Canis lupus familiaris: one gene and its partners. The protein of the gene in region 1 purifies or fractionates together with the protein of each later gene. This does not show direct contact. Links are inferred from orthologs where the notes say so. Each region holds a gene or a part of one and is shown in the gene's direction. Other genes may lie near its edges.

Evidence for each region.
Region 2: the proteins of ZZZ3 (region 1) and TADA3 purify together in Homo sapiens (affinity purification with mass spectrometry; 4 studies listed by BioGRID and IntAct, counting the BioPlex papers as one, with this or other methods). This does not show direct contact. The link is inferred for Canis lupus familiaris from reciprocal best matches to the Homo sapiens genes ZZZ3 and TADA3.
Region 3: the proteins of ZZZ3 (region 1) and WDR5 purify together in Homo sapiens (affinity purification with mass spectrometry; 5 studies listed by BioGRID and IntAct, counting the BioPlex papers as one, with this or other methods). This does not show direct contact. The link is inferred for Canis lupus familiaris from reciprocal best matches to the Homo sapiens genes ZZZ3 and WDR5.
Region 4: the proteins of ZZZ3 (region 1) and SGF29 purify together in Homo sapiens (affinity purification with mass spectrometry; 7 studies listed by BioGRID and IntAct, counting the BioPlex papers as one, with this or other methods). This does not show direct contact. The link is inferred for Canis lupus familiaris from reciprocal best matches to the Homo sapiens genes ZZZ3 and SGF29.
Region 5: the proteins of ZZZ3 (region 1) and KAT14 purify together in Homo sapiens (affinity purification with mass spectrometry; 4 studies listed by BioGRID and IntAct, with this or other methods). This does not show direct contact. The link is inferred for Canis lupus familiaris from reciprocal best matches to the Homo sapiens genes ZZZ3 and KAT14.
Region 6: the proteins of ZZZ3 (region 1) and TADA2A purify together in Homo sapiens (affinity purification with mass spectrometry; 4 studies listed by BioGRID and IntAct, with this or other methods). This does not show direct contact. The link is inferred for Canis lupus familiaris from reciprocal best matches to the Homo sapiens genes ZZZ3 and TADA2A.
Region 7: the proteins of ZZZ3 (region 1) and YEATS2 purify together in Homo sapiens (affinity purification with mass spectrometry; 3 studies listed by BioGRID, with this or other methods). This does not show direct contact. The link is inferred for Canis lupus familiaris from reciprocal best matches to the Homo sapiens genes ZZZ3 and YEATS2.

The regions. Positions count from the first base shown.
Region 1 is NC_049227.1:69,739,425-69,743,569, forward strand, and holds the start of ZZZ3 (ZZ-type zinc finger-containing protein 3), read left to right. Parts: upstream 1-1,345; 5' UTR 1,346-1,480; intron 1,481-1,557; 5' UTR 1,558-1,622; intron 1,623-3,070; 5' UTR 3,071-3,202; coding exon of another isoform or gene 3,203-3,225; intron 3,226-4,145.
Region 2 is NC_049241.1:8,526,278-8,529,777, forward strand, and holds part of TADA3 (transcriptional adapter 3), read left to right. Parts: coding exon 1-27; intron 28-146; coding exon 147-252; intron 253-1,551; coding exon 1,552-1,693; intron 1,694-1,783; coding exon 1,784-1,887; intron 1,888-3,113; coding exon 3,114-3,223; intron 3,224-3,500. UniProt on the Homo sapiens protein: Functions as a component of the PCAF complex. The PCAF complex is capable of efficiently acetylating histones in a nucleosomal context. The PCAF complex could be considered as the human version of the yeast SAGA complex.
Region 3 is NC_049230.1:50,406,160-50,410,221, forward strand, and holds the start of WDR5 (WD repeat-containing protein 5), read left to right. Parts: upstream 1-1,262; 5' UTR 1,263-1,324; intron 1,325-1,995; 5' UTR 1,996-2,083; intron 2,084-2,089; exon of another isoform or gene 2,090-2,236; intron 2,237-4,062.
Region 4 is NC_049227.1:18,345,519-18,348,540, reverse strand, and holds the end of SGF29 (SAGA-associated factor 29), read left to right. Parts: intron 1-744; coding exon 745-874; intron 875-951; coding exon 952-1,098; intron 1,099-1,292; coding exon 1,293-1,328; intron 1,329-1,414; coding exon 1,415-1,577; intron 1,578-2,319; coding exon 2,320-2,436; 3' UTR 2,437-2,522; downstream 2,523-3,022. Other genes in the region: SULT1A1 (sulfotransferase 1A1), read right to left, coding at 2,773-2,885, 3,011-3,022. UniProt on the Homo sapiens protein: Chromatin reader component of some histone acetyltransferase (HAT) SAGA-type complexes like the TFTC-HAT, ATAC or STAGA complexes.
Region 5 is NC_049245.1:5,323,672-5,325,918, reverse strand, and holds the end of KAT14 (cysteine-rich protein 2-binding protein), read left to right. Parts: intron 1-1,039; coding exon 1,040-1,213; 3' UTR 1,214-1,747; downstream 1,748-2,247. UniProt on the Homo sapiens protein: Component of the ATAC complex, a complex with histone acetyltransferase activity on histones H3 and H4. May function as a scaffold for the ATAC complex to promote ATAC complex stability. Has also weak histone acetyltransferase activity toward histone H4.
Region 6 is NC_049230.1:37,195,765-37,199,264, forward strand, and holds part of TADA2A (transcriptional adapter 2-alpha), read left to right. Parts: intron 1-1,388; coding exon 1,389-1,499; intron 1,500-2,988; coding exon 2,989-3,060; intron 3,061-3,500. UniProt on the Homo sapiens protein: Component of the ATAC complex, a complex with histone acetyltransferase activity on histones H3 and H4. Required for the function of some acidic activation domains, which activate transcription from a distant site. Binds double-stranded DNA.
Region 7 is NC_049255.1:16,824,727-16,828,822, forward strand, and holds the start of YEATS2 (YEATS domain-containing protein 2), read left to right. Parts: upstream 1-1,296; 5' UTR 1,297-1,446; intron 1,447-4,096. UniProt on the Homo sapiens protein: Chromatin reader component of the ATAC complex, a complex with histone acetyltransferase activity on histones H3 and H4. YEATS2 specifically recognizes and binds histone H3 crotonylated at 'Lys-27' (H3K27cr).

The DNA.
Region 1 (4,145 bases):
ATTATCACTAATGCTTAGTGTTAAGTTTTATGGCATTGTTTAACATTTGTAAAACCAATGAATAGACTTAAGTGCTTGATGGTAGAGATCAGTGTTTCTTAAACACTATTTACTCTTTTTTTTAATTGAAACATAATTGACATAACATTATATTAGTTTCTACTCTATTAATAATAAAACTTTTCACTAGTTAGATCTGGCAGGTTGACAACCCCAGTATCAAATTTTATACACAAACAGGTGTAAGGCAATCAATATTCTTTTTACCTTCCTTCTTACCTTCCTTCTTCCTTCTTTCCTTCCTTCATTTCTTTCAAGAGACAGTGCAAATAGGGGGAGAGGAGAAGAAGAATCCCAAGCAGGCTCCATGCCCAGCTTGAGTCCCAGTTTGGGACTTGATCTCATGACTCTAAGGTCATGACCCGATCCAAAATCAAGAGTTGGACACCTAACCAGCTGAGCCACCCAGGCGAACTGGCTATCTGCATTTTCTGTGTAGATTTTTGCCTTTTCTTTTTATTATGTAGGAATTTGGAATGGCATGCAGTGATAAATCATTTTAAAATGCCATTCGTAGCTTTCTGTGATACAGATGAATGAGGTTTTTTGTAGCTCATGGTTTTCTAGTAAGTTGGTTGAAATTACTTAAAAGTTTTAGATCATGTGCTTTTTTGTCATGATATTAAGCACATTGATGTTTCTCAGAGTTGTAATTTATAACCACATCATCATGTTTTTTCACCTTACTTTTAGGGAACATTTGGATAACTATCTCTTGATTTATTACATCACATTTATTTTCTATTTACTTCCAAAATAATATTCACAAATTATTCTAGAGGGATAATCTAAACAAGACAAAATTATTACTTTAAAAGACCTGGCATATTTTAAAGTCACATTTAAGGAGAAAGTTGTGATCTGTTTTACTGCATTTTTAACCATTATAGATTTATTCCCTAGTATTGTAAAACACACACAAAATACTTTTCTATTAATGCATGAGTAATTATAGGCTTCTGGAAAATGAGTTATATCTACATTGGTAGTCAGAAAACGTATCTAAGGAGCTGTCAAATTTGTAAGAATCTTAATTTAGAATGAAACATTAAAATATGTGGATACTCTGAGAAGCATTTGTAAGAGTGTTAGCAAATTATCTTAGTCTATTGAAGATTGCACTTATTTTGCAGCCTAATATAAGGAATTATTTGTACAGTTTAGAAAATACAGTGTGAAAAAAAAATACAGTGTGTTATCAAAGTGTTTAGAAATAGCACTTTTGTCCACAAGTCTGTAAACAGTAACACATCTATAGTGACTATATTGTGGTTTCCCTTCACAGATATCAAGTTGTGCTAGTACATCCATATAAATAATTAATACCTGAAGTCTCAATGTAACATGGACATTAACAGTGATGACAGATAAATACAGACGCTTGGGAATCAAATACTAGGCGAAAAACACTTTTAAAAAGGTAAGAAAAATGTAATCTTAATTAAGGCCAAGCGGGCTTTAGTTAGTAGAAGTAATTGACTAAAGTTTCTTTTTCAGTGTATCAGGCTTTTTAAGAAACATCTGGGTGATCCTGTCTTTCTTAATACTGGTAGAACTCAGCTGTAAGTATCAGTTCTTCTGTGAAAATGACAGTTGCAGATAGACTTGCCTTGTAACTATCATAATGAGTGAGGTTCCTATAGTAAACCCAATCCACAATGGGTAGAAGGTGGACTGGAACTGGAATTAAGTGCTAGAATGGAATGTCCATGTATACTCAGAGACATATCTTAAACTGTAGATCCTCTGCCTCTGATGTTTGCCACTCCCACCACACACTGTGGAATGTAATGTTTTGCCATGAAAGGCTTTCAAGGTTGGGTATAGAGGAGTTGGCACTTGTTGGAGTTTTTGTTGTAAGAGGAGTGCATTTTCAAGTTAAGGGTTACTTTTTATAGGATCATGTTTTCACTGTACACACTCCTCATGTTAATTTAGAATATTTCTTAATGTATTAAATGATTTTATTTAGACAATTTTCCTACCTTGTGGTTTTCAAGAGTTTACAGGCCATATTTGGGAGAGGTTGCATCTGTAGATACTAGATATTAGTACTGATCTCCTAGCTGACTAAAACTGTAATCTGTTTACTTTTACTAGGCAGTAACTCTAGTTTACAAGGTTTGTTAACTGTATCATTTTTAAAATTGTAATCCTTCACTGTGACAATAGTGTCACTTTTAAAATACCTTCTTTCATTTTTATAGTAAAGTGACAATATGCATCATATAAACACATCACTCGTCTTTTTCTGGTGTTCCTCCTTGTTTCCAAATGGGCAGTCATAATAACCATTTAGCCAGATTCTCTGAAAAGGATATCATAATGCATTGTTATAAAATAAAACTCTTAATTAACCAGACTGTCCAAGAAATGGGAGTATAATTAGATTAATTAAAATACCTGGCCAACTGAGTCTTAAAGCTAAAAATCCTTATTCCTTTTGTCCTAGTTGAAAATCCATACACCAAAAATAATAGAAATTTCTCTTTGTAATAAAATCTTAATGCTAGTAGTCATCAAAGTTATCATATAGATATTTGAAGACTTAGTTGATTCTTTGGTGTGCATGACTTAAATTATTTTTGTTGGTCAGTCCCTAGTTTTGAATACTTGAAGGCCAAAGTTTGGGTAGGGCTCTAGAATATAAGAGTAAGAGATAATAAATTCTATATGAGAAATTTTATTAAAGGCAGTCTTTGGGTCACCGCAAAAGAATATTGCCCACAGACTCTAGAGAAGAATGGAGTGACATTTGGATGCAAACTAATAATGAGTTGTTATGAGGATTCAGTATATTTCAAGCTCTTTTTGCTTTGTTTTTGTTGGTTTTTAAAAATCTGTTTCCAGTTTCTTGGTATCTCTGAGGCTACAGAGTTGCTAAGAAATATCAAAGATGTTACTATGAATAGATATTCTGTTATCTGCTGTTTCCTCTTATAGAAGGGGTAAGTCTATTAGCATAAGTTAATTTGTTTCTTTAATTTTTTTTTATTATTTTATTTTAAAGAAAGGAATTTTGGGAGGTTCTAGTATTCTCCGTGGCTGAAGCTGAGAGTCTGAAACCCTGATGCTTAAGCTCTATTCTAGATCATAGCTCCAACTCCTTCAGGATATAAGGAAAAGAGATAATATTTCCACAATGATAGATCTTTGGTTGTACAGGTAAGTTATTTAGTTTTGCAGTAGTGAAGACAACTGTAGTTTGATATTTTTTTGTGGGTGGGGGGTAACTTGTATTTATATTCTTTATTCTGCATGGTATATTGTGCAGTCTGCCTGGCAATTCATATGAGTATGGAGCAATAGGGAATGGGTTAGCAATGATATATTTTCCCACTCTTCCCAACAGGGGTATAAATGAAATGATTAATGATTAAGTATGTTGGAATCTCTAGAGCATTATACCTATCTTTGACATTTTAGGTATTTTTGATTGAAGGGGGCATTATGAAATTCCTCGACTTTTGTTTCTCCTCAGTTTTGTTTTTTTTTTTTAAGTATGTATTCATTCAGCTTTCTGTCTTTGTATCTATGTTAATCTATCATATATCTGTTTCTCTTAATGGGGAAGAAAGAAGAGATCCCTTTAAGGCAGTATGTATTAGAATTTAGCATCAAAACACAAATATTAAGAATTGCATAAGTGGGTCCCCATGTTTCACTCTCCTACTTTTAACCTTATAGTGGTAATTGCTCAACTGAGGAAATTTGTCTTAAAAGGATTGTGTGACAAGGATAGTCTGAACCATTACTAAGCAACTCATGTTTATGTTCTAGACAGAAGAAACATATTGGTAACACTTTCAGTTGCTCTTGCTCTTTTTTTTGCCTTTTACTTTGGTTTGATATGGTATCATGACCAGTTTCCTAAAAATTGTTCAATTAATAAAACTAAATATTATGATAATAAATATCAACTAGAATGTTGATGTTAATGGAGGATTGCCAGTCTCTCAATTCCCAAAATAAACCATACTCCTTTGGTAATTATAGTGGAGCAAAAAGTTATAGGCATTATCTTTGAAAAATCTTTCTGATTTTTGAGGTGATAGCTAAGAGTAGTTATTCATTAGATGGACCAT
Region 2 (3,500 bases), on another chromosome or scaffold:
GATCCCCAAGAATGATGCCCCCAACAGGTTCTGGGCCAGAGAGCATAGAAGGGCCTTGGGATTCAGACAGTAGAGGCTGTGGAGGGGCCTAGAGCTGAGGATGGTGGGATAGGAGGTACCCATTCAGGATCTGCTTCTCCCTGCAGGTTCTGGGCCTCTGTAGAGCCCTACTGTGCTGATATCACCAGTGAGGAAGTACGCACACTAGAGGAACTACTGAAACCCCCAGAAGATGAGGCTGAACATTACAAGGTAGAAACCCTGGGCCTCAGTAGACGGGGGTGAGTGAGAGGGCTCAGAGGTGCCTCGGAATCACAGATCCCAAAGTCATGTACCATCTTCCTTCCCCTGCTCTACCCCTACTTTGCTTAACCCACCCAGACACCTAGGCTCTAATTCTCGGCTCTCTTCTTACATTGCCTCCTCTACCCCATCCGGATGATCACCACATACATCCTAAAGCATCTACTTCAGTGACACTGTCCTTTGTCCCAACATCTCTATCACCTCTGCTTTGATTCAAGCCCTCATTAGTTTTCACCCAAATAGTCTCTTAATACTTCTCTGCCTCCAGAGGAACTTTCTGTTTTCTTTCTTTAATATATTAATTTTATTGTGATGTAAATAAAACAGGTTCCATTAAAGAAAATGTACAAAATACAGAAAACCGTCAGGGAGAACTCCAATAGGTCAGCTACTGTGATCGGATGTGACCCAACCCTGCTCCCACGCATCCCCTGGCTCCCATAACACACAAGGTGGAGTCTAACACCTCGGTCCTTGGTGACTCAGCCCCATGGCCCCCTGCAGCTTCCTCAGCCATGCCCCCTTGTCACTGTTGGATTTACTACCCCACCAAGCACCTTGCCCTCACCCAGGCCCACCAAGGCTCCTTACTAACCCCTGGGCCTCTACACATGCTCTTTTTCCCTTACCAAACTAACTCATCCTTTAAAGCACTGATCCCTTGTTATCTCCACCAAACACTTTTGCAGACTCCCCCCAGAAAGTTTCTCTGTCATGTGCCACAACACCTTGACCTACTTCTAGCACTTGAGTTCTTTGAATTTTTTAAAAAATGTATTTGAAATAAAAATTATTTATTTATTAAAAATAAAAATTATATAGGTAGTAGTAAATTTAGGTAATAACAAATGAGAACTTCCTCTCTTGACACTAAGGCTCCTGGTTCTCTCTAGGGACAACAGCTGTGACCTGAGATGGTCCACATAGGTATACCATTCTGCACCTGTATCTTGGAGATTATTACGTACTGGCTCCCATGTGTGTCTTAGTTGGTTATGTACCTGTCTCCCTTGCTAGATTGTGAGCATAGAGATTTTTTTTTTTTTTTTGAGATTTTTATCTCCTTCATTTCTTCCCACATACACAAGGCTCAGACTTCAGCCCTGGGGGTAGGTCCTTGGGAGACAGCAAAGGGATGGATGATGAGCCTATTAGCAGTGCCCAAGTGCACAGAGATCCCCCACTCACCCTGGGCATGGCTTGCCAGTGCTTACTCGTTTTCGGCTGGGTGGCATCTCCCCACAGATCCCACCCCTGGGGAAGCACTACTCCCAACGCTGGGCGCAGGAGGACCTGCTGGAGGAACAGAAGGATGGGGCCCGAGCAGCAGCCGTGGCTGACAAGAAGAAAGGCCTTATGGGGCCACTGACTGAACTGGACACTAAAGGTAGGCCCCTCACCTCCCTGCCCACCCCAGACCAGGACCTGAGTTTGCAGAACTCAGCCCACCTGTCTACTGTTTCTCTGCCCACTTCAGATGTGGATGCCCTGCTGAAGAAGTCTGAGGCCCAGCATGAGCAGCCTGAAGATGGGTGCCCCTTTGGTGCTCTGACGCAGCGCCTCCTACAGGCCCTGGTGGAGGTGAGCACCCTAATTCAAAACAAGGATTATGTTTACTTACTGTTTTAATGTTTTATTTTGTGTTGAAGTATATCATGCATTTAGAAAGGTAATGTAGATCTTAAAAATGTATAGACTCATAAATTTTCACACATGAGCACACTTGTATACCTGGTCTCCTGATCACAAAATAAAGCATTGCCAGTATCCTGGAGCCCTTCTCATGCCTCTCCCAGACTCTAACCTCACCTAAAAGTAGCCACTACACCACAGTTACTTTTGTCAGCCTTAACCAGTATGCTGGTTAAGGGCTGAGCCCCGTGCAAGGGCTTTCCACACATCCTCTTGTTGGAGGCAAGGACAGTGGCTAGCCCCGTGTTGCATACCAGAAGATTGAAGCTCAGAAAAGGGAACTGTTTGCCTGAGGTTGTACAGCCAATAAGTAGAAGCCAGGCTCAAACCCCAGGTGCAGAGTCCCTTTCTTTATGCCTTCTTTCTTTTTGTCTGGCCTTAGGCACATCTTTTACCTCTTTAAGCCTTGGATTTCCCCCGGCTCCAACACAGTAGTGTTTTTCTCTCTCATGGAATAGTCTGAGCTATGTTCCAAGTTGGCTGAGGTGGAAGTGAGGGAAGATCTCAGCCCCACACCATCACACAAGGACCCCGGCTATGGGGGCTTTGCCACCCTAAACATGCACTCTGCACAAGGGTCATTCTAGGTGTGATTGCTGCTCCAAGCCCACAGAAAAAGAGCAAGGAAGAATGTGAAGGAAGGTTTATGGGCCATGACTGACTGTGGCTCTTATCTCTTCTGATCACTTTTCACTGGAGAGAATTGGTCACGTGACCACATCTGACTACAAGGGAAGCTGGGAAGTATAGTGTAGCTGGGCAGCCATAAGCCCCACTACAGAAAGGTGAGAATGGCTTTTGGACAGCCAGCAGCTCATGCCGCAGCAAACTTAGCACAGTGCCTGGTCAATGCAAAAGCTTAGCTCTTCTCTTTACTGTTGTTGAGTGTTATCATTGCTCTTCTGTGCTCCCTTCTTTTGGTATCAGTACAAAAACGGGATTTCTACAATGATCAGAGCTTTCTGGTATCAGTTTGAGAAGGCTTCCCAGAGGATGGGAACAATAAAAGAATATTTCTGTGAAGACTGAAGACTCTAACTGCAGGTTAGAGAGGAACAAGAAGATGGAAATGCTGTAACTCTTACTCCCTCCATCCCATTCCTGTGGTCTTCTAGGAAAATATCATTTCCCCTATGGAGGACTCTCCTATTCCCGACATGTCTGGGAAGGAATCAGGAGCGGATGGGGCAAGCACCTCTCCCCGTAATCAGAACAAGCCCTTCAGGTGAGTGACAACTCTGTCCATATCCTACTATCTGGCCCCTGCCTCTATTGACTTCGTCACATCCCAGCATGGGGAGGTCTTCATTAAAAGAGTTGAGGGCATTTTGATGAAGCCGCATAAAAGTTTCATTTTTTAAATATATATATATATTTTTAGTATTTATTTATTCATAAGAGACACAGAGAGAGGCAGAGACATAAGCAGAGAGAGAAGCAGGCTCCCTACAGGGAGCCCTGATACAGGACTCAATCCCAGGACCCCAGGATCATGACCTGAG
Region 3 (4,062 bases), on another chromosome or scaffold:
GAGTGCCCACATGGGCTCAGATTCCAGCCCAGGTGGCCAGGTGGAGGGTCCTTCTTCATCTTGTGCTGGTTTGTTAACTTCTGTAACAAAGGTGGCCCAAGGTGACTAGGCTCCCAGGAACAGAGATCCACACAGCGCCACGCCAGGGCCAGAGACTTGGCGCCACACGATGCTCCTTGGGAGTGGCCTGCAGACCAGCAGCCTGTCTCAGCTTGTGTCCTGGACAACCACACACCTTGTTCCCTGGGCATTTCCTTTTTACATGATGTCCTCTTGTTAGCACAGGTTCCTGCCACATATTTGGTGTTTCCGTCCTTAATTGGGAAATAAGACTGCAGGTGATGCTGCCTGGGATGGGGGTTGGGGCCTGGGAGCTGAAGACTGCCTCCAGGACTGTAAGGCCCGCGTGTCGTTGTCGTGTCCCCCCCCCCCCCCCCAACGGGATGAGAACACACAGGACTTGGGCCAGAAGGCGGGCTGCAGGCTCTCCGTTTGCACGAGCCCTCTCCTCTGGGGTTCCCCTTCCTCGTGTGTACCCGGCCATGACAAACTGTCCTGGAGCCCACCTTGCAGACAGCAGAGCGGCCTGCGCCTGGTGACTGCCGGTAGGACGGCCCTGCACTGTCCCTGGCCGGGGCTCTCTGCCGGTGGCGGTGGCGGTGGCCGGCAGACCGCGCAGGAGAGCTGGGGGTGGGGGGGGGGGGGCGAAGCGCAGGGGAGCCGGCACCCTCAACCTTGCTGGCTCCGGTCCTGGCTTCCGGGGCGGGCATGCGCGGAGACACCAGCGCCGCCGGCTGCGGTGCACACGGGCTGCGGCGGTCAGCTGCGCGCCACGGCGGAGAGGGGCAGCGATCCCCGAGGGAGGGTCTCCCACGAACCCTCGGGCCCTGCCTCCCCTGCACGCCCGGGGGCGAGCCCTGCTGCTTTCTGGAGGCGCCGCTGCAGGCCGCGTTCAGGAGGTGAACTTTCGAGGGGCACACTGGCACTTTCCTGGAGGTATCATCATACTTCCGTTTTTAGAAAGTGCACAAGAAGGACCTGCACCAGCCAACTTTGAGGTTACCCCTTTGCACGCCGTCCCTTTAAGGCGTTGGGCCTGCCCCAGGCCTTGTGCCCCTCGCCGCTCCCCGTAGTGCCCCTCCGAGAGGCCGGCTTTGTGCACTCGCCCCGCCCCGCCGCCGCCCCGCCCCCCGCGCACGCGCACGCGCACTCCCCCCCCCCCCCCCCCCCCCCGCCGCGCCGCCTCGTCCAGCTCGGCCCGGCTCCCGCCCAGGCGGCGGCGACGCGACGCCCCGAGCGCCCGCCCCGCCGCCGCGGCCGGCAGGTAAGCGGGGCCCGCTGGGCCAGAGACCGCACACGGGGTGCGGGCGGGGGCCGACGCCGGCTGCCCCCCGGCCCGCCCCGCCGCCGCACGTGTTCCGGCGGGCCGGGCCCAGGTCCCGGGTCCCGGGTCCCGGGTCCCAGGTCCCAGGTCCCGGCCCAGCCCCGCCGGGGCCCTCCCGGTGCCGCGCCCGCGCCCCCACCGCCTCCCTTCCGGTGCCCACCCCGCGGCCCTCGCCCTCGCCCGCGCCCGGGCCCCGCGGCGACCCCTCCGCCTCCTCGCGGCCAGCCCCTCCCGAGCGTCCCCCGCGACCGCGCTGCGGCCCCCCAGCGGCCCGGTGACAGCGCGCGGGCCGGGCCGGGGACCTGCTGCTGCAGCCGGCGCGCGTCTCCCCGAGCTCTCCGCCGCTGCTCCGAAGAAAGAGCCCAGACCCGGCGGCGGGGTCCTGGCCGGGCGCGCGGACCGCGGCGCCCCTCTCTGCGGAAACGCCCCCCGCCGCGCCCTGCTGCTGACCCCCAGCCCGGGCGGCCGGGCCCAGGTGCGGCTCGCCCTCAGCAGCCGGGGACCCCGCTCCGCAGCGCCCCGCGCCGCCTGAGTGTGCTGTGCCACAGCCATTTTGGGTGACGGCAGAGACACTCCCTGTGGCCTTCTCATGCCGCTTTCTGCCCACCCAGGTCCCTTACCCGGCGCTTCGGCACTGGCAGCTGCTGTGCCACACGCTGCCTCCGAGGTCGGCCCGGCCCCCTCCCAGAAGGCAGATAGGTAAGCTGGGCTGGAAGCTCCGCGCGGAACAAACAGGCGGGGAGAGCGGCACACCCCGCCCCCTTGGTCCGGCCACCTGCGGGTCACCGGGTTACCTGCCTGTGGGCCAGTCTCGGGTGGAGTCCGGGGATCTGCATTTTACAAGCAGTGCAGGTGAGCACCCCGGTTTGGGATGGTCAGGCTCACCTGGGTGAAAGGCCTGTGAGGGCCCAGAGGGGTCAGGTGGCGTGTGCTCTGGAGGCCGGTCCCTAAGCAGCTGCCCCGTTGCTTTCCCTGAGCATCGCGGACAATGCAAGGCTTTCCCTCCTCTTGAATGGAAACTGGGGGCATGGAGTCAAGAAATTGCACATTAATGTTTTGCTAGCCCAAGGGATTGGCAGATTGGATTTGATGGAGCTGGGAGGGGTTCGCACACCTCTTCTGTGAGATTAGCTGTGGTATTCTCTAGTCCTCACCTTGAGGGCAGGTAGTTTGCTGGGAGTCACACTCCACCTCCCGGCGGGTCTCAATTTTTATGTTAAAAGGAGCAGCTCTGGGTTCCCTGAGCTGCCCAGGTCACCCCCAGAGGAAGTCTCTTCTGTTCCCACTGCTGTTTCTCCCCCACACCTCTCCTAGCTCTTGCTGATACCTTCTTCAGATACTAGGTTTTGTGAGTCAGTCTTTCCAGCTGTCTTCCATAGCTTCCCCCCGCCCCCCACTTGTCCATCCACCTAGAGCAAGGCAGCACTCGGATTAATTGGCATGACCGGGTTGCACTAAATTTACTCACAAACCAGCTAGTATTTGCTGAGCACCAGCTTTGTGCCAGCATTTTTGTATCTGGGCGTGATTATGTGACCTGCTCCAGGACTTGGCCTTTGGGTGCAGCAGGATCCATCCTTGGGCATAAGCCCAAGTCCTTGCTATATACAGGTAGCCAGTGGGACCACATCTGTGCTCTGCACAAGTATGTTGCATTGTAATTTCCCTTTTGGATAAAGACTTTAAGACGTGGTCTTTTTTTTGATGGACTTCCATTTTGCCTTGGTGTGACAAGGAGTCGTGCAAGCTTTCAGTTTTAAGTGCCAAGCTAGAATTTTACACCGTGTACACCATTAGATTAACAGTGGTGCAAGCTTCCAGGAATTGGATGACCAGTGATGTCTGCAAGAACACCATGGTGGTTCCCCCATTTCAGAGTCACCAGGTGTGCTTCTAGGAGACGCATCTAGGATCTGGAATCTGTTCCTGGGCTAGAGCAAATGAGTCGCTTGCTGTACAGCTTGGGTAGCTCCCATTGTCACGCTGAAACCTAATTGAGCTGCGGTCTTTCCCCTCCTGCAGCGAGAGCTTGCTTGCAGCCGATCTGTGTACACTTCAGGCTTCAGCAGCAGACAGGGCTGGCTCTGGTTTGCACTTCTCAGCTGTGTCTTGTAGTCGCCTCACGAGGGACAGAGCGCCTTTTGAGCTGCCAGGGTTCTGGAGGCGGCCTTGTGTCTACACCAGACGACAGGGAAGCCCCCTGGGAGATGCAGACCGCTGTGGGGCGGGGGGTGGGGGGTGGGGGGGTGTCTGCTCTTGTATATTTTCAAACGTGGTAGTTAAGCACTGTTGCATCACTTGTGAGGATTTGGACGAGTTCCCAAATTTCTACACCCTGAAGCTCAGTCTCCTGTAATTTGGGTTGGTTTAGGGTTGTTTTTTTTTTTTTTGTTACGTTTCAAGGGCTCTTTGAAGAAAATTGCATTTTGTTTGCCTGGCCTGAGCTGCATTCCTACCAGGAGGATAACAGTAGGGAGCACCCTTGAAGGTGGGGCCTTGGATTACATGGACAAAAGGGGCCTGGGCAGCCTGTCTTAGCATCTGAAGAGTATTTAGTGCAGACTTAGCTCCACAGATAGGTTCCTCATTTTGGAATAGTGTGTCTGCTCAGGGCCCAGCAAGGTGGGTGAAGGTTTTTCACCCTTTTTGCTGGGAATTAATTTTTAAAATATGGCTTG
Region 4 (3,022 bases), about 51 Mb from region 1:
TGGGAGGGGTTGGAGGTCATTACCAGCGCTAAGAGGCAGGGGCTCTCAGTGACCCTCTACAGACTTGGAAGATTGTGCCCCGTCCCCTAAGGCTTCTCTCCCCCTTGTACCTGAGGCAGTAGCCTCCTTCCTGCTACCCTCCCCCACTCACACTTCTTGCTGCGGTAAGCAACCTGCTGCTTTGTGAGAACCATCCTTCAGATGGGAGTTTACAGAGGGTGTTGGCTTCCAAATCTGAACTTTTAGACTGCTGTGGCTCTCCCACCTCTCTTACCCTTTCAGTGAACCCACAGTAGGCAGGCTGCTTGCCTATCAAAACGTCACACTGCCAGTTGGCTTTGTGCAACTTTGAGTGTGTTGAGCCATGCCTGAGAAGGTCAGGAGACTGTCTACATTCTTTTTTTTATTGAATGACATCTACTCAGTAGAGGACTGACCTAACTGTACAGAGAACTTTATGAAATTTTCACTAACCAAGCAAACAGATGTGACCAGTACCTCAGAACCCTTCTTTTGCCCTCTTTGGTTCCTTCCCTGCAAGGGGATCTTGAGAGCAACATCTACCAGATCTGTGAGAGCAGATTGGGCCTCTGACGGCAAGCATCTGCTGGGGGGCCCTTGGTGGTAATTAAGGAGGTGGGCCCCAGGCTGAGCTCCACTGATGGCTCCGTGCACCGGTACAAACGAGGGTCCGGGGCAGGAGCCCCATCTCTGGGGCCTCAGGGGCGCGCTTCCTTCCTGCAGCGGCCAAGATCGCGGGCCTGTACAATGACTCGGAGCCCCCCCGGAAGACCATGCGCAGGGGGGTGCTGATGACGCTGCTGCAGCAGTCGGCCATGACCCTGCCCTTGTGGATCGGGAAACCTGGTGACAAGTGAGGGCAGGCCCGGGGTCAAGGGGCGGAGCTGACAGGAGGGAGGGGCTGGGACTAACCTCTCAGTTCATCCTCAGGCCCCCACCCCTCTGTGGGGCCATTCCAGCCTCTGGGGACTACGTGGCCAAACCTGGAGACAAGGTGGCTGCCCGGGTCAAGGCCGTGGATGGGGATGAGCAGTGGATCCTGGCTGAGGTGGTCAGTTACAGCCACGCCACCAACAAGTAAGTGGACACCCGGCCCTCCGTGGACTCTCCCATCTGTAGGCTGGGAGAAGAGCCCCCCACCCCACTCCAGGGTCCCTGTGGGGACAGGGATGATGTGTGACTCCAGCTCCCTGGGATGCTTCCCCTCCTCATCGCTCTCCGGTTCGGACCGTGCATCTCCCTGCATCCTCTGTTTTCTCTTTGTTCTCCAGGTATGAGGTAGATGACATTGATGAAGAAGGCAAAGAGTGAGTGTTGGGCAGGGAGGGACCATGGAAGCTGCTGGGAAGGAGCCTCCCACCTGGCTGTGGGTTGATCTAAGCCCCCCTTCCAGGAGACATACCCTGAGCCGGCGGCGCATCATCCCTCTGCCCCAGTGGAAAGCCAACCCAGAGACAGACCCCGAAGCCTTATTTCAGAAGGAGCAGCTCGTGCTGGCCCTGTATCCTCAGACCACCTGCTTCTACCGTGCCCTGATCCACACGCCCCCACAACGGGTAAGGTAACCCCTGCAGGGGAGACAGACCATGACACCAGGACTGGGCTGACCAGATGGTCTTGGGGTCACCTTCCACTTTTTCCCCTCCTGTCCTCATCTGACAGCCCCTCTGAGCTAAGAGAGTCCTGCAAGTTTCTCCCTCTCTCCTGCTTACTCTGCCCCATAGGGGCCCTCAAGCCCTGTCCCCTAAGGCAGTGCCAGCTAATCCTCAGAGTCCTAGCAAACCCCGAGTGGAATGGAACCAGTATATCCTCTAGTCTCACCCCACTTTTGCACTGAGACGAGCAGCCCTGAGGTGGGAAGCACTGTGCCCAGGACCTGTCTTCCCTGCCTTGACTCATCCACCACTGGCCTTTCTTCATCTGAGGCCATGCTCCCTTGTGCTGGTGACCCAACACCTGATGGCAGCTTCAAGGCTGCTCTGCTTGCTTCCTCCAGGATCCCTGCCTGCTGCCCTCGGTGTTTTCCCTGATCTCCTTCTTAGAGGGTCCCCAAAAGGCACCAGACTCTCCATGTAGAATCCCCCCAACGTAGACCGCGAATCTTCCTCCTCCCTGCTCTTTGTCCCCTGGCACTTTGTTGCCGAGAATAGGGTTGTGTCATAGCAGGAACTAAATTCTGAGTGAAGATGGGGACAGGAGAGGCTGGGAGCCCGTGTACCAGAGGTTTCTGTCAGTCTGGGCTGGGGGGCCTTGCCTGGGGGTCTCTGACTAGCCCCTCCTGTCTGCCCCCTGCCGCAGCCCCAGGATGACTATTCAGTCCTGTTTGAAGACACCTCCTATGCAGATGGTTACTCCCCTCCCCTCAATGTGGCCCAGAGGTACGTGGTGGCTTGTAAGGAGCCCAAGAAAAAGTGAAGTGGGCTGGCAGACTCAAGATCTCCTGCCACTCCCCCAGGGGAATGCAACAAAAGATTGTGGCAAATAAATATTGTTCCCCTTTGCCCACGTCTCCTCGGTTTTGTTTTTCCAGGCCCTTCTGCCCCTCCCCATACCAGGGCAGGTTGGGGAATTGGAGAGCTGGAGGGAGGGAAGATAGCTTCATTTGATCCCAGGGGGAATTCCTTCCAGCTCAGGTTTGCTTTTTGCTTGCATTAAAGGCTCTCAGTGTAATACCAATGGAATTTTATTTTTGAAGCTGGGGGCTGGCTGTGTCAGAGCACGGGGCCTTTGGGTGCCTCCTGGGGGCACTGCTCACAGCTGTGTGCGGAAGCTGAGGCCACAACCCTCCATCTTCTTGGCATAGTCGGCATCAAAGCGCTCATTCTGGGCCACAGTGAAGGTGGTCTTCCAGTCCCCCGAGATGCCTGTGGGTGGAGGAGAAGGTGGCTGCAGGTCCCGGCTGCAGAGCAGGCCCCAGATGGCCCAGGCCAACTCTTGCCTCCGTTTTCATGTTTGCCTCCCCAGATGGCCATCCTGCATGGGTACTCACCTTTCCTCATGA
Region 5 (2,247 bases), on another chromosome or scaffold:
AATGCACTCATAGCAGTCCCACTGGGCGCACAATGTAAGAGAAGCAGAGAAAAGAGTGCAGTTGTCTACCTGAGAGTCCCTTACTTAAATCTATGCCTGGGGGAACTGTGGGTTACCAAATCTCAAGGACCCTGTCAACCTCAGTACTTCAGTGCCTTCCTCATCAGAAAGCTAGGTCTTGGGATCCCTGGGTGGCGCAGCGGTTTAGCGCCTGCCTTTGGCCCAGGGCACGATCCTGGAGACCCGGGATCGAATCCCACGTCGGGCTCCTGGTGCATGGAGCCTGCTCCTCCCTCTGCCTGTGTCTCTGCCTCTCTCTCTCTCTCTCTCTGTGTGTGACTATCATAAATAAATTAAAAATTTAAAAAAAAAAAAAAAGAAAGCTAGGTCTTAGTTTATATTTATATGACTTTGAGTTCTTTCTTCTGTGTAGCTAATTAAAGAATCTTAAGAACTTGCCTCATATTAATAGAATGAAGATTACTCCAGTAATGTTAGTTTGGGATGGATGGGAGGGGGCCTGTGGGATTCCAAAGGTCCATACCAAGTCTTCAGCTTTCATAACTAATTAAAAGTCCTAATACCTTGTATCCAGCCTCATACTTAGCATCTTTTCTGGTGGGTCTAGGAAGGGCATTTTTACAAGTTTGAGTACAAGCTAACATCGGTTTTAGAAAGCAGAACTTCTCGTCTTGTTCTCTCCTTCAGGATTGTCAGTGCTAGGTATTGGTATTTGGAAGTGTAATTGAATTATAAATAAAATAATCTGTTGACAATAAACTATCCCTCTGGGCCCTTTGTCCCAGAGAGCAAAAACACGCAGCACACTATCCTTTCCTTAGTCTCGAACACTTCAGTGAGTGTGTGGCTGGGCCACAGACTGGGGCTCCCAGCTGTCCCCAGCGCTGTGGCTCCCAGCTGCCGTCCCGGCTGTCCCCGGTTGTCATAACCACCTACCTACACTTCACAGACTCCCTCACCTACTCATCTCCCTCAGGCTCTTTCCTTCTCACCGGGTACTTTTCCACTCTTTTGGCAGACCTGCATGGGCAAGGATGTGACCCTTCACGTCTCAGCAAGCAACCCCGCTATGCTGCTCTACCAGAAGTTTGGATTCAAGACTGAAGAATACGTCTTAGATTTCTATGATAAATATTACCCGTTGGAGAGTACAGAGTGTAAACACGCATTCTTCCTGAGGCTCCGGCGCTGAGGTGAATGCAGCGCTCCAGAGACGCAGGTGCTGTTCCAGGTGGCTCCTCATTCCGGCCCACAGGCAGGTGCTCCTGTCTCCCAGGGCCCTAATCTCTGCCATCAGACGGCCATTCAGATCTCTCACCCAAGGCTAGATGGGTGGTGGGGCAGTGGAATCAAGAAGCGAGCAGCCCTTCAGCAAACCTGTCCCTTCTGCACAGGCCTTGGCCCCTGTCTCAGGACTCCACAGTTCACTGGAACTGAACAATGCTGTCTATCCGACAGCTTGCAAGAACAAAGGAGTATCTAAGCTGATACCCTCCTCGAGAGAATCTCTTCATTGAAAGGATGAGGAAGTGTGGTAGCCATGAACGATTGATGCTCTAGCCGGTCAGGGCCGATGGGAGAGTTAGCGCACGAGGGGAGGCCAGCACTCTCCCAGCCATGAGTGAGCTGTTGTTGAACCCAAGAGGACTTCTCTAGGGCACTGAGATTCTGCTGTCTTTCACTGACTTTGGCCACAGTCCAAATAAACAGAGTATGTGTGTCCACATGTGTGTCACCTGTTCTGTTACATCTCCTGTCAGGAGCTTTGGCCGGAGGGTGGAGACCCATCCTTCCCATGTCTGGGAAGTTGGTTTGGGCTTGGAGTGTCTGAGCTGCCTGCCAGTGAGACTGTGCTCCTGGCTGGAGGTGTGGGTGGTGGAAGTAGAGCCAGCTGGGGACAGAGCCTGTGTGGTCTGCAGGACCAGGCTCTTTGGTTTATAGAGAGTGTTAGAGATGGACTGTCAGGTGGGGTTTTTTGGATCGAGCAGGAGCTTTTCCAAAAGTATCAGATGTTCTCAAAAATCTTTCCTTGTGACTATCTATGGCCAGAGCTTCAATCTAATTAAGAGCAATGATTCTTAACTTATGGGGATGCGGATCCCTGTGAGAATCCAAAGGAAGCCTAATAGTCTCTAGAAGACTGTGCGTGCACAGTTAGAATCTGCATCGGAGATCTGACCACAGTCAGATCCTTTGTTCTAGGGGCTGCACTCAGAGCCAGCTCAA
Region 6 (3,500 bases), on another chromosome or scaffold:
TTTGCTTTTGGTTGTGGGGGGTTTTTTGGTAGTGAAAATAATCAGTGGCTGCCCATGAAATCAGCACCTGAACTTTGTGGATAAGAATCTCTCTTTCAAGGGAAGAGATTCAGCTGAAAAAAGGACTTTATTTATTTATTTATTTATTAAAGATTGTTTTTATTTATTTCTGAGAATACACAGAGAGGAGAGAGAGAAGCAGAGACACAGGCAGAGGAAGAAGCAGGCACCATGCAAGGAGCCTGACATGGGACTCGATTCTGGGTCTCCAGGATCAGGCCCTGGGCCAAAGGCAGTGCTAAACTACTTGAGCCACCTGGGCTGCCCAAGAGGACTTAATTTAAATAACTATCATAATGGAAAGCATGTATCTATACTCTAGAAGTGAGCAGAACTAGCTTAGTTACTGATTAACTCACCTAATAAGTTTCAGCTTAGTTCATCTGAATGAAATGACCAAGTAGCAGTTCCTGGCTACTCCAACCTACCACTTATTGTTGGTAGGTTTTACTCCCCATCTTCTTTGCTGATAGTACTTTTTATTAGGAATGTGGTCATTAGGGCAGCCCAGGTGGCTCAGCAGTTTAGCGCCACCTTCAGTCCAGGGCCTAATCCTGGAGACCCAGGATCAAGTCCCACATTGGGCTCCCTGCATGGAGCCTGCTTCTCCGTCTGCCTGCCTCTCTCTCTCTCTTATGAATAAACAAATAAAATCTTAAAAAAAAGTGGGGTGGGGGGATGTGGTCATTAGTGATCCTCAGAGTTACTGACTGTGGCTACCCTGTATATATGACCATTTACTTGGATGATAGTTATGAAAATATAATTTCATTAGTAGTAAATTAAGTTGTGGTACTTAGAGGAAGGCAAAACGACCCTTATAGAGAGTGAAGAAATAAATGTCTCACTTGAGGATGTGTTGGTAAGGAGATTTCTAGTAGATATGGAAGAGATCACACATTTTTTATAGGCTAGTCTGCCTCTTCTAGATGGATTATTGTGTCTGCATTTCCCTTGTTTTCCTGCAGAGGTTAATACCAGAAATTTTGCCCAACATTGTTCCTAAAAATGCATGATCTACCTTTGTCTTTCCCATTACTACCAGCAGTCCCTGCCCCTGTACAAATTAAGAGACTGAGGTGTGGAGGTCACAGGCTGTTCAGTAATGCAGATGATCTTCAGTTCTCCAGGAATAACAATATCCCTATGTGATAGTCACTGTGATGCTGTTATCTTTATGATTAGTGTTTTGCATTGTTGGCTTTCCTGTTTGCTTCCTGTCATGGGTAAATTAGTCAGGTTAGGAATAGTGTCTGTCCTTCCATTTAATGAGAATGTAGAGATTTTTATTTTTTCTATGGCATGGTCGTGTTTTATTTTTTCTGTAGTAATGGAACGACGGTATCCCAAGGAAGTCCAAGACCTTTACGAAACAATGAGGCGATTTGCAAGGATAGTGGGGCCAGTGGAGCACGACAAGTTCATTGAAAGCCATGCACGTAGGTGCTTTTTAACCCTTGTGCAAATATTTGTGTTTGTGTGTGTTGATATAAATAGACAAAATGGTATGTTTTAGGTGAAGTTGTATAAATAAATAAATGGATATTTTTGTCTTCTCTTCCCCTTTATTACCTTGAACTAAATTTGGGACTTCAGGGGTGGAAGAGAAGGAGTTAAAAAGCCCAGTAGCTTTCCTTTTTCTCAGCTAAGCAGTAGTTTAGTAGTTTCTCCCCTCACTTTTTATTATGGAAGTTTTCAAATATATACAAAGGTAGAGATAATAGTGTAATGAACCCCCATGTAACTATCACCCAGCTCCGCAATTAATACATGACCAATCCACTTTCATTTTTATCACCCCCTCTTCTCTCACCCTCAACTGGATTATTTTGAAGCAAATCCCAGGCTTTGGGGCTTGAAATCAAGAGTCCATGCTCAACTGACTCAGCCAGCCAGGCACCCCAGTGCTTCTGCCATTTTTTTTTTTGCCTGTCTGAGAGAATTCATTTGATTTTTCACTATAAAAAATTAAAGTTTGTTAAGGCCATAAGGCTTACATTTTAAAATAATTTGGACTAAGTGGCTTAGTCTATACCTTTTCATCACAAGATTTGTGTATTTGACCCTCAAATTTAGTCCTGGGGAAAATGCTTTACCAGGGCTCTTGTCCTGTTCTCATCATGCAAATATTTCTTGCATGGCATTGTAGGCATTTATCTGAGCCAGGTCGGTTGTCCTCATCAAACACCCTGTTTGGTTGGCATTCTTTTTGTGATTTGTACTAGGTGACTGATCTTTTACTTCCTGCCCCAGTTTGTGCCATCCCTGGTTTATGTGTCACTCTAAAGAACTACACCCAATGGATTGTCCAGGCTCTTCCTTCATCCTCTGTTTCAAAGCACTCAAATTTGAATGTTCTATCACATAATAACCCAAGTAGTTGCAACCTGATCTGTGCACTCAGAGGAAGAAATCTTTGGTCTATGGAAAACAATGCTCTTTTGTTCCTATAGGAGAAAAGCTGTCAAGAAACTATCTAGGACTTGAGCACAGAGCTTTTGTCTTTTGCTTGCAAAAGGACCACATCAAGTAATAGCAGAGACAGGTTTTATAAAAGAATTTGGTTACGTGGATAAAACTGTTATTAGAGGATAAATAGAGCAGGGAAACTTAGTTGTTTAAGAAAATTATATTTGTTACTTCTGTAGCTAAATGAACTCAGCCAGTTTACTGTATGTTTTCTGGGAGACAATTCCAGCTGCTTTTTCCAGTTGGAGATGGCAGCGAAAAGATGGCTAGAGTAGATTTTTCTCAGTTCTTGAGTAAAATTTCTAATGAGATGTCACTAACATAATAGGATTCCTCACATGGAATTGCCCTGTCTTTTGTATAAGGCAGTATTACTGAAAATACTCAACAGCACCAGTGCTTACTGATGATGATTTTGTTTTTCCAATTTTTCTCCTTCATTCTTTTTGGGATAAACAGTGGAATTTGAACTCCGAAGGGAAATCAAGAGGCTCCAGGAATACAGGACAGCAGGCATCACCAATTTTTGTAGTAAGTGTGCTTATTAAGCTACACATTGTTTGGGGGGCAAGTCTCTTCTAAACACAAAGAGGAAGTCTCTGTTTGAAGTGATGTGGGTTTTTTTAAAACAAGCTTTCCCTTTTGGGAATGAGTGGTCTTTCCGGTAAAGACTCATCTGTTTAATTCTTATAAATTCCATTATATGGATCATCTCAGGTAAAATAAGAGTGATGACAAAAGAGAGGTGCTCCTTTAGATTTGAGAATCTGCTGTGCCCCCCCCAAAAAAAGGATTTTGTGTTCTAATTTTTAGTCTCAGTCTTTTAAAATTTTGTGATGCATGGTCTGATCATTTGTATTTTTTTTTTAAGATTTATTTATTTTTTTATTCAGAGAGAGAGAGAGAGGCAGAGACACAGGCAGAGGGAGAAGCAGGCTCCATGCAGGAAACCCGATGTGGGACTCAATCCC
Region 7 (4,096 bases), on another chromosome or scaffold:
TGGCCTTACTATTCATTTATTCAACAAATGTGTATTTTAAAAATATTTATTTATTTGAGAGGGAGCACGCACTGCACACATGTGCTTGTCTGAGGGGGAGGGGCAGAGGAAGATGAGGGTGGAGTGGGGGTGGGGGGGATGGAGAGAGAGAGAATCTCAAGCTGACTCTCTGATGAGCAGAGCCTGAGGAGGGTCTCTATCCCACCACCCTGAGATCAGGACCTTGGTAGAAACCAAGAGTTGGAGGCTCAACCGGCTGTGCTAGGCAGGTGCCCCTAACAAATACTTTTTCTTTTTATTTTTTTAAGATTTTATTTGACAGAGAGAGAGCATAAGCACAGGGAGTGGCAGGCAGAAGGAGGCAGAGGGAGAAGCAGGTTTCCTGCTGAGCAGGGAGTGGACTCCATCCCAGGACTCTGGGATCATGACCTGAGCCTAGGGCAGATGCTCAACCCACTGAGCCACCTAGGCACCCTTCAACAAATACTTTTTGCATGCATGCTAAATTCTTTAGAACAATTTATTAAATTTAAGTACATCCAAAAAATTGATGACATAAATAGTATAAAAAATTATAAGTGAACTCTCTCTAAACCTACTACTCAGCTCCAGGGGTAAATTTTTACACAGTGAGTTGAACAGATTGAAGGAAGACAGAGACAGATCCCTGGAGAGCTGCAGCAGTCTTGGGCAGAGAGATGATGAGGCCTCAGGCAGGATGTTACAGGAAGAAAGAAAGGGAAAGGTGGGCTCAAAAGATACTTAGGATTTGATGGATGGTCACTCACTAGTTGTATAAACTAGTGAAGTCCCAACCTTTCCGAGCCTCAATTTCTGCATCTGCATAATAGGTCAGTGATAACTATTGTTATCCGTATCCCTAGCACCTAACACAAAGCTTGGCACAAGATGATAAACACACACAAATCATTACTACTGTTTTAGACCTGTGGGAGGTTCATCTACGCTGGGAGAATGAATATCGGTCTGTCAGACCGGAGGCTGGAACTCGCCATCTTCTAGGGAGGAATATGATAAATGACGGTGCCTCTGCCAGAACGGGCATCCAGGCTCCCCAGGCAGTGCGGCAGCACCAGTCCCCATCAGAGTCCGGCCGCCGCCAACCCCAGCTCCAGCCCTGCGCGGGGCCCAGCCCCCGCGGGAGCCCCGGCCCCGCCCACATCCCTGCAAGCCCCGCCCCCGGGCCGCGCGCGCGCCGCCGCCGCCGCCGCGCACGCGCGCCTCGCCCCGCCCCTGGTGCTGACGTGCGAGGCCGAGAGGGACGGACGGGCGGGCTCCGCCGAGCCGTGTGCTTCCGCGGGCTCCGGGGTCGCTGGGGCCTCGTGGCGGGGCGGCTCCGCGGGGCTTCGCCCGCTCCCGCACCTCCCTCGTGCCCTCTCGCCGCGCCCGGCGGGCCCTGCGCTTCGGCCGGAGACCCGGGAGAGGGTGAGTGTTGGCGGGAGCGGGGTCGGGCCGGCCGGGCGCGCGCTCCGCTCTCCCGGGCATTGTCTGGGCGGGGGCGGCGCGGGCACGTGCGCTCCCCTCCCCCACCCTGCCCGCCGCGCGGCCCCGGCGGGCGGGGGAGGGGGAGGGAGCCGGCGACTGCGGGCCGCCGAGCACCGCGGGGAGCGGGCCGGGTGAGCGTGCCGGTCGGGGGCGTCTCCGGAGCGGGAGCCTGCAGCTGCGTGTGTGGGGTCCTTCCTCGGGGCTCAGCGCTCTCCGAGGGCGGCGGGGTCAGGGACCCCCGGGGCTGGAGCTCTCGGCCTGTTGGGCTCGGTGGCCTGCGGTGGAGACGGAGACGAGATTTGGCTCCAGCACCGGCAAGTTGTGGGTTTACCGACAGGCACCGCGGAGTCTGCTTCCAACCTGTCGCCATCCTTACGGTCCTCCCTCGCGAAGGATGAGTGGGATTTAGAAAGGTTGGAGGATTTTCCAGGCATACGCTCCAGTTAGAAGCACCAGAGGCGTGACACAGTGCGGGGTGACAGCGGAAAGCTTGGGAAAGTGAGGACTTGGAGGAAAGGCTGGTTTGGTGGGTTGTGGCCGGATTGCAAAAGACAATGAATGAGGTTTATATCATAACCTTGTCTTCTATCGTGAGTGTAATCAGGGTAAAGAATAGAAAGTAGAGGAGGAAAATATCACCAAATAACCCCACGGCCCTGACACCTCTTTCTTAGTGTTCTGGATGTGTTTGCTGGTATTTTCATCTGAGCTTGTAACAGTTGCAATTAGAGTTTACTTACAATTTTCCATTCTCTTTTCTCCTTATGGTGTTAAAACGAGATGTAATATACAGTATTCGGCAGTATCCTTTATTCTTAATAAGCAAATAGCAAGTATTCATCATAGAAAAATGAAGAAATATAGACAAGCAAAATGAGGAAGAGTATTCATAGTTCTGCTGCCTCGAGATATTGCGTATTTTTGGTTCTGTATATTCTTTCAAAGATAGTGGGGCAGATAATGCCCTGGTTAGGAATTTAGTTTTCATACGAATCCTTTGAAGGTTTTAAGAAGGCAGGTAGCATAATCTGACTGCTCTGTAGAGGAAGAGGGTGAATATGGGAGCGGGGAGATCAGTTAGGATGCTGTTTGCAGTACCTTGAACTAGGTCCGTGGCAGCGAGATGAAGAGTACAGAGATTTAAACATTATTTTGGTTGTAGAATGAACAAGACTTGTGAGTGGGTTAGTGGGAAAATAGGAGACTTCTTTACTTTTTTTTTTTTTAATGTGTTTTTAAGGATTTGTTTATTTGAGAGAGAAGGATTGCTTGAGTCCTAGAGAGCAGGAGGAGGGGGCAGGGGTGGGGAGGAGAGAGAGAGAGAGAATCTCCAGTAGACACTCTGCTGAGCGCGGAGCTGAAGTGGGGCTCTATCTTTTGGCCCTGAGATCATGACTTGAACTGTCAAGAGTCGAATGTTTAACATACTCGGTCACCCAAGCACCCTTTTATATATTTTTTAAAATTAAGTTAAACTCTCTTCCCATCCTGGGGCTTGAACTCAGGTCTCTGAGATCAAGAGTTGCATCCTCTACTTACTGAGCTAATCAGATGCCCCAAGAATTCTCTCTCTTTTTTTTTTTTTGGTAGTTGTTTTGAGCAGCTATGGGTAGATAGTGACATTTACTGAGAGGGAGAAGAATGGAAGAGAAACTTGAAGGGGGAAAAATCACGAGTTCTGTTTTGGGTATATTAAATGTGAGATGTATATCAGTTATGAAGTTGGTATATTGAGGAAATTGGATGTGCAGGTTTAGAGCTCATGGAAGAGAGAGCTAGGAGCTGTTAGATAAAACTTTGGAATTCATTACATAGATGATATTGAAAGGTATGGGACTGCATGAGATCACCAAGGGAAAGAATATAGATAGAGAAGTGAAAATTGACACTTGATCGCTAATACTTCGAGCTGCAGTATGGGAAGAAGATTGAACATAGAATGGAAGAAACAGCCAATGAGGTAGGGAAAAAAGGCAGAAGACCAAAAGGTGTCATGGAAGCCAGGAAAAATAAGTTCAGAGAGGATAGAGGATGTCCATCCCTGACTTTGAGATGTTTAGTGAGATGCTCAATTGGATTTGGAGGTTGTTGGTTTTGTTATTGGTATTATTATTTTTAAGATTAAAAAATTTTTAGTGATCTCTACACCCATCGTGGGGCTTGAACTTAAAACCTGGAGATCAAGAGTCTCATGTGCCACCAGCTGAACCAGCCAGGCACCTCTGGTCATTGTTATTATTATCCAGAGTTCTAGAAGTGGGAGATGGAAACGGGATTGGAATAATTAATTGATTGGGGCTTGAGGAAGGGAAGATAATGAGTGTGGATTAGAAAAACCTGGGCCTTTTTCGAGATGCCTTATTTCCATCTGCTCCCAAACTAAATTTGGTAGGTGAAAAATGGTGTCTTGTTTAATTTTTCATTCATTGATTACTAGAGTGTTTGAACATTTTTTTGTTTGTTTGTTTGAACATTTTTTAACATATATTTGCCATTGGTGATTTTCTGTATCCTGTGTATATCTTTTTGTGTTTATCACTTTTGGGAATTGATTATCAAGAGTCCTTTTAGATCTTGAAAACATGTAGTT